Yarrowia lipolytica: one gene and its partners. The protein of the gene in region 1 interacts with the protein of each later gene in a pairwise test. Links are inferred from orthologs where the notes say so. Each region holds a gene or a part of one and is shown in the gene's direction. Other genes may lie near its edges.

The links.
Region 2: the proteins of YALI1_F10115g (region 1) and YALI1_A08468g interact in a two-hybrid assay, tested with the Saccharomyces cerevisiae proteins (2 studies listed by BioGRID). The link is inferred for Yarrowia lipolytica from reciprocal best matches to the Saccharomyces cerevisiae genes SMT3 and RAD18.
Region 3: the proteins of YALI1_F10115g (region 1) and YALI1_A01766g interact in binary tests that used the Saccharomyces cerevisiae proteins (3 or more experiments, as listed by UniProt). The link is inferred for Yarrowia lipolytica from reciprocal best matches to the Saccharomyces cerevisiae genes SMT3 and MCM5.

The regions. Positions count from the first base shown.
Region 1 is NC_090775.1:1,010,792-1,013,259, reverse strand, and holds YALI1_F10115g (uncharacterized protein), read left to right. Parts: upstream 1-1,695; coding exon 1,696-1,968; downstream 1,969-2,468. Other genes in the region: YALI1_F10122g (uncharacterized protein), read right to left, coding at 1-1,034; YALI1_F10110g (uncharacterized protein), read left to right, coding at 2,166-2,468. UniProt on the Saccharomyces cerevisiae protein: Not known; suppressor of MIF2 mutations.
Region 2 is NC_090770.1:844,973-848,412, forward strand, and holds YALI1_A08468g (uncharacterized protein), read left to right. Parts: upstream 1-1,886; coding exon 1,887-2,936; downstream 2,937-3,440. Other genes in the region: YALI1_A08436g (uncharacterized protein), read left to right, coding at 1-568; YALI1_A08467g (uncharacterized protein), read right to left, coding at 839-1,768. UniProt on the Saccharomyces cerevisiae protein: E3 RING-finger protein, member of the UBC2/RAD6 epistasis group. Associates to the E2 ubiquitin conjugating enzyme UBC2/RAD6 to form the UBC2-RAD18 ubiquitin ligase complex involved in postreplicative repair (PRR) of damaged DNA.
Region 3 is NC_090770.1:173,729-178,209, reverse strand, and holds YALI1_A01766g (uncharacterized protein), read left to right. Parts: upstream 1-1,591; coding exon 1,592-3,826; downstream 3,827-4,481. Other genes in the region: YALI1_A01777g (uncharacterized protein), read left to right, coding at 1-37, 417-1,105; YALI1_A01736g (uncharacterized protein), read left to right, coding at 4,426-4,481. UniProt on the Saccharomyces cerevisiae protein: Acts as a component of the MCM2-7 complex (MCM complex) which is the putative replicative helicase essential for 'once per cell cycle' DNA replication initiation and elongation in eukaryotic cells.

The DNA.
Region 1 (2,468 bases):
TTCACCAGCACCAGAACCGTGCTAACGATCCCCACTAGGCCGGCAGCTACCCCCACGTGCCAGTGTTTGCCTGTTTGATCCACGTACGAGGCAGCCACTACAGTAGCCACCACTCCGACTCCAGAAACGCCCATCGGGTACCTGTTACTCTCAATAACACTCCACCCGGAAGCCTTGAGATACTGTCCAAACAGGTTGTTGGCTGGAGGAGACTCCACCTCGCCCGCAATGCCCCATAGCAGCCCAAACATGTAAAAGTGCCATCGTCCAAGCACCCGTTTGACAACTGTCCAGTCTAGTTTTGTGTCTGGGCGTGGCGGGAGTCGCATGACAGACATCTGGCGCTCCTTCTCGTCGAAATAAAAGGCCTGTGTCGTCGCTGGTGTATCTGGAAAGAAAATAAAGCCATAGAGAGCCACGGGAAACGTGATGATGGCGTCGATAATGAACAGCCATCTCCAGCCGGCTAGTCCTCCTTTCCCACTGAGTCCTTTGAACACTGCACTTTGCAGAAAACCAGAGAAGAGTGTGCCAATGAGCCCTGATGATGTGAAGATGGCGGTTCGCTTCGCCAACTCCTTACCACTGTACCACGATCCCAGGATGAAATGGGTGCCCACAAACGTAGACGCTTCAAAAAAGCCCTGGAAGAAACGAATGGCATAGATCTGCTTGTATGTGGTCACAGCATAGGTGCCCAGAGTCAATAGGCCCCAGGCCATGGTGCAGAAGGGAAAGTAGTACCGGGGCTTGAACACCTGAAGAGCCAGGTTGTTGGGGATCATACCCACCGTGTATCCCACAGTGAAGAGCGTGTTGGCGATGTTGAGCTCTCGGCCGTACATTTGGAGATCCTCTCGCATGCCCGAAACAAAGGCATTGGACAAATTGGCTCGATCCAGATAGTTGGTAAAGTACATGAGACAGCAGAAGGAGAGCACAAACCAGTCAATCTTGCGCAACAGGTGCTCCTCCTCGGCCGTGCTCTTGTACTCTCCCCAGATAAACACTCTGATTTTTCTCAGCCAGTTCATGGGCCGTGATTGAGTGTGTCGAATGTCTTTGGGGTTCGAAATTGGCGGGTTTTTTTCGTGAATAATGCGGTTCTTCCCGTCCCTGTGGCTGGTCCTGTCTGTCGTCCCATGCTCGTCAGAAAAACCCTTCAGAGGTGAGCTTAGCGGAGGTTTATTTGCTTATTAAGCATGGCTGTAGATGGATGCAACGGTGAGTAACCAAGGTCCTCTCTATGTCCTACAATAGATTTCCAATGATCGGGCCTCCTTTTTTCGTCGATTTCAGCTGCAAATATTATTCTTCATCTCATTTCCTTTTATACACCGGTTTGCTCAAATCTAGTTGCCCCTTTCGGAACCCCTAGCCCTGAAGTCGCGGCTTTCACAATCATAGTTTGTGCAATCCACGAAATCCATCACACAACTACACACAAACATCAAAAGTGAGTATGGTGGCAAAGATGAAGTAACAGAGGCGCTGACAAGGTGCAGGAGAAATGAGTACAAGCGGGCGTACGTGTGTTTATATACACTGAGCTTGTATGCTCCACTTTGAGTGCTTCAGCCTTGCAGCCACGCTCAAGTTGCACTTGCACAACACGAGACGGTGAACGTGACGTACCGAACGTGACACAAACCAGAGAGAAACGCACCTCTGTCCACTCGTAAACTAACGCAGCAGATGTCTGAGGAAACACAGCCCAAGGTAGACAGCTCCGAGCACGTCAACATCAAGGTCACCGACTCGTCGTCGGAGATTTTCTTCAAGATCAAGAAGTCCACACAGCTCAAGAAACTGATCGACGCCTTCTGCCAGCGACAGGGCAAGCAGAAGTCTTCCCTGCGTTTCCTCTACGACGGCCAGCGAGTCACCGACACTGACACCCCCGAGACTCTGCAGATTGAGGACGGCGACACCATCGAGGCTCACCAGGAGCAGCTTGGTGGCTGCTAAGCGGGATATTAACTGGTAGATTGTTAGTAAAGTGTATGATAGCTGTTTAATATTGAGCGCGTAGAAATTGTCGCAATATATCTCGTTCCATCTCCAAAATCTGCTTTACGTAATCAGATTACTAGTACATAATTGCTGTATTAAAGAGACGCGTACATACGAATACAGGACTCGTATGTAAACTTGAACTCAACACCATGATGAAAACGTGGGCATTGAGGGCTAGAGCTGTTCGAGCCACATGGAGTGGCCTGTCGAGGACGTTCGGCACTTCAGCACCATGTGATGAGGCGCTCAAAATCGCATATTTTGGAAGTGACAAATTCAGCATCAAATCATTACAGGCGGTTCTCCAACTACAAAAGGAGGACCCTAGTGCCATTGAGAGCGTCACAGTCGTTACGAAACCGCCCAAACGAGCTGGACGAGGTCTCAAGGAGCTCAAAGATGTGCCTATTACCGACTTCGCGGTAGAGAACGGCCTTACGGTGCTTCGGGCA
Region 2 (3,440 bases), on another chromosome or scaffold:
CTTCATCATCATTGCTGTCTTTGGAGCCTGCACCACGATTGGAGGGGTTTTGACTGTCGTTCCTACCTCTGCAGTCGGCCCTGTACTGACCTCTCTCTTCGTCATCAGTGCCTGTCTGCCTATTTTGTCGGTGGTGGCTCCCTCACCTCCTCCTCACCCTGCCAGCGCGCCCGCCGAGCCCAACGTTACCCTGGCCATCTCCTTGTTGCTCCACGGCCTCGTTACCACTGCTCTGGCAACCATCAACTTTTCGTTGGCCATGGTTCTGGGTCTGCTGACCGTGGCATTCAACTTCATCCGTCCTGGGTCTGCTCACACCAAGAGCAACCTACTGATTCTCATCATCACATGCCCTTGGACTTGGCTGGTTGCCGTTGGCGCCGTTTTGCACACCTCGCCCTTCGATATCCTGCAGATGCTCCTGTGGTCGCTTAGAGGTAACCAGGTGTGGACCTGGCAGGTGCTGTTCGGTCTGTGGCTGCCCCAGTGGGTGCTTGCGGTTATTGTCTCGCGCTCTTCTACCCCCGCCCCTGCCCAGTCTACTGTTGGCTATTTCAGAAAGCAGTAATTAATGGGGGGGTGCTTGTGCTTGTGATGAAAGAAGAAAGAAATCATGTCTCAGACCACTGACCAGGTGTTACACCTGATGAATGTATACCCTTGTAGGTATTTAATGTCCGTAATATATTTATGATGAATAGAATATTGGCTTGTGTTTCAACTGCTCGTTAGCTGTCTCTACAGTTCTCACTTGTCATGGTAGATGTTGTTGAAGGTACCCACCATGACCCCAAACTACACTGGAGTCACATTGTTGCTGCTACATATATTGTTTTCATCACGCATGGAGTTTCGGGGGATACCTTCTCGTGGAGGGGTTGCAACTGAGAGAGCTGAGAGGATGTCTTGGTTGAGGATGCCAATAGGGATCTTTGTCGGAGTTGACACCAAACTTGTTCACCTGTCTCAGGTTGGTCACGTCGAATTCATTGGTGTCTTTTGGAAGACGCTGTTGGGGGTGAGGTTTTTCTTTCGGGCTTTGCACTCTCACAAACGCTTTGGCTTTGGGGGCGTACCTGAACAGTCTTAAGTTCTCTCTTCTGACTCTCTTGAAGATAGGAATGGTGACTGTGGGTTTTCTAGCGCCGCTTTTGTGTTTATACTCTTGAATGAGATCTCTGAGCGATCTTTCTACCTCCTCGCAGGGCTGGATGATCTCCTTGTCCAGTCGGTAGATGCATTCTTTGAGGATACGCACTTTGCTGAGCTTGTGCTCGCGAGCAGTGTGGTAGTCGAACGTCGGTAGGTTGCCGAGATATGCCGTGTACAAGGCCAGAATGAGCACTGTTGCTGCCAGCTCGTAGACAGATATCATCTTGAGCGGTGATAGGGGCTGTTTATGAGTGATCTGTTTACACTGACAAGAGACCGGTCTGGTGGATTGGGTGCAGATAGGTCGGATGGGGTAGGTCGGAGAGGTGTGGGTCGGGAGTACTTGTGGATGTGTCAAGATACCGCTCGGTGTATTCAGCAGTAGGACAGTTGGTATACTCAATGGTGGTGTTTTAAAAAATACAGTAACTGTACAGGTACACATGTTGACACTTTTCACAATATTATTTCGTTTGTCAGATCGCTGCTGTAGAAACAATTGTGTATGTACTGTATGTATGAACGGTTTTCTTTGATCAAAATCAATAAGCCGTTTAATATCTTGTCTGATCAAAAGGTGTACATTATTGGTCTGTTTCCTGTTATTACATTTCATATTTTGCTGAAATTAATTGCAATTAATCTACGAAATTATCTTTAAATGCTGCTTAAATATCCCCAAAGATTAATAAACTCGGATCCATTAACATGCATGAACGCGTAAAACTTGCTCCATGGCGACACACACCATGAATAGCGACATTCCCGATCCCAGCGACTGGATCGACTCCAAGCTGAGCGGCCTCAAAGACGTGGACGAGACTCTGCGCTGCCACATCTGCAAGGAGTTCTTCACTGCGCCCATGATCACGGGATGTGGCCATACCTTCTGCTCGCTGTGTATCCAGCGATATCTCACCAACACCAGCCAGAGATGCCCCACGTGTATGCAGGAGCAGCAGATTTCGCAGCTGCGCAAAAACGTGACTGTCGAGACCCTCGTGGAGCATTTCAGCGCCCAGAGAGCCACGATTCTTCGCGTGGTGAAGGAGGCGGCAAAACAGCCGATTCCAGAGGTGGTGGAGCCACCCAGCAGTCCAGATTTGGACGACGGAAGACGCCGGTCCGGTCGCAAACGTACGCGCACAAACTACACAGAAACCCTGGTCTCGTCGGACGACATTCAGGTCGAGTGTCCTGTTTGCCAGGCCATGCTTCCAGGAGCAGCCATCAACAGACACCTGGACAACAACTGCAACGACACCGGAGCCAATGGAGGCAACTGGCTGGGCACCAAGAAAAAGACCAAGCCGCTGCGCAAGATTCAGCGAGTCAACCAGGCGTCAGAAAGCGTGGCCAACGTGCGTCGCAAACTGCAGGATGAAGGCCTTTCTACTTCGGGGTCCAAACAGACGCTGTTTCGGCGCTACGACGAGTGGGTGACGCTGTGGAACGCAAATGTGGACAATAAGACGCCACGGTCAAAGAGCGATATCAAGGACGATCTGCGAAGGTGGGAAACGACAGTGGTGGCAAACGAAAACGCACAACCGGTGAAAATGACCATCAAGAACATTGACGATAGACAGTGGGTCCAGAAACACAAGGAAGACTACGACTATCTGATCGAACAAGCAAGGAAGTCGATTCTCAAGAAGAAACAGGAAAAGGAAAAGGAGCAGCAGCAGCAGCAGGAGGGGCACCAAAAAGCAGTGGATCGCAGGGAGGACAACGAGCCGGACATGAAGAGGAGTGAAACAGAGGGGTATCAGGTTGTCTCCTAAGACATAGAATGCATGCATGTTAACACTTACAATAGACATAAAAAGATTTATTTGAATCACAGAAACGCGTTTCGCCGCAAGATCGCCCAAGTTTGAAGTCGACAGTCATCGTGGCACAGAGCTCCCACAGGCGTGAAAGTACGACGTTTTGATTCGTCTCGTTCCGCTCTTCAATTTGATCTAACAATATCCACACAAAAAAAACACAACTCCTCCCAAAACTGGGTTTCGTATCGAAGTGAGGACCTTCACCAGTCAGAAAGACGTCTCGAATACCTGTCTTGAACAGAGACCAGAAGAAGAAACAAAAAAGAAAGAGCCAAAGAGCTCTTATGGACGACACCGGAATCGAACCGGGGACCTCGCGCATGCTAAGCGCATGTGATAACCAACTACACCAGACGCCCACGATTGGAGATGCGGGTTGGATACGTGCGTTTTGAGCATAAAAAAGGTTTTGATAAAATTAAACTTAATTAAACTTTAATCTAATTAATCGACCCT
Region 3 (4,481 bases), on another chromosome or scaffold:
CAGATCACCTTTGAGTGTCTCGAGCCTTTGAAGCATGGTGAGTAGACCGGGGAGAGCGGTGGTAGGCAGTGCGATGGCCACATGGAGGGCCACATGGAGAGACACATGGAGAGCCAGTGGCAGAGACTATTCCAATCTAATTGACGTTGGATTGATGTCAAGTTGTTGATTGGTTCTTTTTTAGGTGCATTGATCGGGAGTTGTAGGCTGGTGGATGAGGCTGTCATAGGGGTTCATGGAGTGTCTCCATCTCAGCATCTATCCAAGTGTTGGTTGAGCATCCACCAATGTTGATTGAGCTAATCAGCAATTGTCCATCAGTTGATGGGGTTGAGATGGATTACTATTCCTGGTTCATCAACTGGGTCCTCAAGGGCTTCGGTTTACGAATGTCCCAATATCTCTTACTAACACAGACCTCGAATGGAAACTCACATACGTTGGTTCGTCCACATCTTTCGAACACGACCAGGAACTCGACTCGCTTCTGGTGGGCCCGGTTCCCGTTGGAGTCAACAAGTTCGTCTTCACGGCCGACCCACCCACAGTTGACCTGATTCCCGCGTCCGAGCTGGTTTCTGTCACCGTCATCATTCTGTCGTGTTCTTACAACGACCGCGAGTTTGTACGAGTCGGATACTACGTCAACAACGAGTACGACAGCGAGGAGCTGCGCCTCAACCCCCCTCCAAAGGTGCAGGTGGACCATGTGGTGCGAAACATTCTTGCTGAGAAGCCCCGGGTGACTCGATTCAACATTGTGTGGGACAATGAGGGCGAGCAGGGCGAGGAGTTCCCTCCTGAGCAGCCCGACGCCGACCTTGAAGACGATGAGGAGGAATATGGAGCGGGAGAAGAGGAAGAGGAGGTTGAGGAGGAGGTCGAGGGAGAGACTGAGGCTGACGCCAAGGAAGACATTGAGGCTGAGGGTGAAGCGGAGGCCGAGGGCGACGGCGACGGTGACGGCGACGGAGAGGACGAGGATCTCGAGGAGGCCTCCGATGAGGAGATGGAGGTTGTGGATGATGAGGTTGGAGAGGAGTCTGAGGGCGAGGACGACAAGGAAGACAAGGACGACAAGGACGACAAAAAGGACGACAAGTGATTGTACGGTAATGTATTTATTTGTATTAATAGAATGATGAATGTTAGTAAGCAGAAATCCATCTTATACAGCGTTTGCATGTTTCAAGCGGCCCCGACCAAAACAGCCACTCCCAAACATTGCAGCCCTAACCGCGAGACGCGGGCTCTCACCCTTTAATTAATTTGGCAACTTTATTACGCGTTGCTAGGGGGTAACCGTGGCGGGGTTTGACGGGGCGATTGTGCGACGATAGACGGAATATGACGGAAATTTTGAGATATTTGTGAATTTCCAAGCTCTCGGAGGTCACAATTACCGACTCCAATCGTTTCATTCACCCGTTGCCCGGTTGTATGGTGTGGTGTTCGATCGTGTATTCTTTTTCAGTAAACTTTCTACTTGTCCCGAATAGGAATAGTAACGAACGCGTGTGCACACTTCCTCCCAGTGCGAAAAGAACTCTCATCAACACCTCACCACACCCCCCGCCACACAAGATCCGCAATGTCCTTCGATACAGGAAGAGTGTATTCCACACAAGTGCTGCCCGGCGACGACGACCGGGTCGAGGACACCAACGTCGGACTCACCCGCAAGTACGCCGACTTCATCCGCGAGTTCTACATTGACGGCAATTTCATCTACCGAGACCAGCTGCAAGACAACATTCTGGGCGGCATTCTGACCATAGAAGTGGACATTGCTCATGTCCGAGCGTACGATGGAGATCTGGGTCAACGGCTGGCGGACGACCCCACCGGAATGCTCAATCTGTTCCAGCTGGCTGCTGCCAACGTGGCAAGACGACTAATCAACCCTTATATGGATGAGGCAGACGAGCGACTACGAAAAGAGGGGCCCGACGCCATTGCCAAGGTCCCCTACGTCCAGGTGACGCTCAGATCGGACGCCTCCATCACCCAGATTCGAGATCTCGGATCGACACATGTTTCCCGACTGGTTCGAGTGCCCGGAATCATCATCGGAAGTGGCAGCGTCAGCAACAAGGTCAAGACGGTCACTCTCATTTGCTCACACTGCAAAGACCAGATCAAAATCGAAGTGACTCCCGGATTCGCCTCTCTCAACATTCCTCGAGCCTGCCAGGGACCCCCCAACCCCAATGGAGAAGCCAAAAACTGTCCCCTGGACCCCTACAAGATCCTGCACGAAAAGAGCGAGTTTGTCGACCAGCAGGTGCTCAAGATGCAGGAGGCGCCAGAAATGGTGCCCGTGGGAGAAATGCCCCGTCACGTGATCATTTGCGCCGATGGCTATCTCGCCAACCGGGTGGTTCCCGGCACTCGAATCATGGCCATCGGCGTCTATGCCATTTACTCGGCGCAAAAGGGAAAGAACAACAACAAGGCTGGAGTCAAGGGTGCCGTGGCCATCAAGAGTCCCTACATTCGACTAGTGGGAATGACTGGTCTTGATTCTAACAACGCTCCTGTTGCCGATGGACTCAACCCTTCTAGAGAGGTTATCTTTTCAGAAGCCGAAGAGCAGATGATGATTACCCTCAGTAAAGAGCCCGATCTCTACGAAAAGATCACAGGCTCCATTGCTCCGTCCATTTACGGAAACACAGACGTCAAGAAGGCCATTGCATGCCTTCTGGTAGGTGGCTCCAAGAAGCTACTTCCAGATGGAATGCGACTCAGAGGAGATATTAACGTCTTGCTGCTGGGTGACCCCGGTACTGCCAAGTCGCAGCTGCTCAAGTTTGTCGAGAAGGTGTCTCCTATCGCCATCTACACCTCCGGTAAGGGTTCTTCCGCTGCCGGTCTGACTGCCAGTGTGCAGCGAGAGTCGGGGTCTCGGGAGTTTTACCTCGAAGGAGGAGCCATGGTGCTTGCTGATGGAGGAGTAGTCTGTATTGATGAGTTTGACAAGATGCGGGATGACGATCGAGTTGCTATCCATGAGGCCATGGAGCAGCAGACCATCTCCATTGCCAAGGCCGGTATCACCACCGTTCTCAACTCTCGAACAGCCGTTCTGGCGGCGGCCAACCCCATTTTCGGCCGATACGACGACATGAAATCGCCGGGCGAAAACATTGACTTCCAGACCACCATTTTGTCGCGTTTCGATATGATTTTCCTCATCAAGGATGACCACAATGCCTCCAGAGACGCCACCATCGCCAAGCACGTCATGGCCATCCACGAGACCGGAAACAAGACGGAAGAGGAGGGAGAGATTCCTCTGGATCTGCTTAAACGATACATTTCGTACTGTCGACAGAAGGTGGCTCCCGTTCTGTCAGACGAAGCATCGGAGCGTCTGTCTGGCCACTTTGTCGAGCTCAGAAGACAAGTTGCGGCTGCCGAGCGTCAGATGGGCAGAAAGTCGTCGATTCCCATCACCGTTCGACAGCTAGAAGCTATTGTTCGAATCACAGAGGCCCTTGCCAAGCTGGAGCTTCAGCCTGTGGCCAGCGCTGCCCATGTGGAGGAGGCCATTCGACTGTTTAATGCATCTACAATGGATGCCGTTACCCAGGGAACGTCTGGAAAGGATACCATCATGGAGGAGGTGACACAGATCGACCAGGAGCTGCGACGACGTCTGCCCATGGGCTGGTCGACGAGTTATTCTCGTCTGGTTACCGAGTTTGTCAACACTCGAAACCATAGCCAGGAGGCTCTTGACCGAACGCTTCATGCTCTGGAGAGATCGGAGGTCATTCAGTTCAGAATGCAGCGACAACGAGTTTACCGAGTTGGTGTTTAGTGGGATATTTGAATGTATGGGAACCAAGGCTAGGTCTTGACGAACCTGCGGAGGAACATGGAGAAACGACGGAGGAACGATGGAGACTTCAAGGAGACGACTGTATAGAAATTAGTTAGTGTAATTTTATTAATTTATAATGAACTGCGAGTTCGCCGACAAATGGGTGTTTAATGATGGTGAAGGCAAGAGTCTCCGGGTTACGCCAGACGACCGTTTATACAACATGTTGAACTTGTAGAGGTGGACGAGAAAGATACAGTACTGTATGTACTACAGTATGTACATCTATCTAAAGTATCGCACTCTGTACTTCTCTCAGTATCCGCTTGTAAGGCGAAAAACACCATTGGTTGATTATCCATGAACAAGTCTTGACTCCACAGATTCATACGTGAAAGACATCTCTTACTCAGCATCAGAAATGACCCAAGATCTCAGCTGAGCACCAACCGTTGTCCTTAAGCACAAACAGCTACTAGTACACTTGTACAGGTCTTCACGCAAAGGTCTTTCAGTTATCTGGTTGACAAGGCTTGTCCTGATTTGTATTATGAAGGAAAGTATGGATGTTCATAAAGTAGTTGGTTCAAATCACAATGATTATTACACAACTACTATCAAGTATATCCACCCAGGTCACACACCACATTGC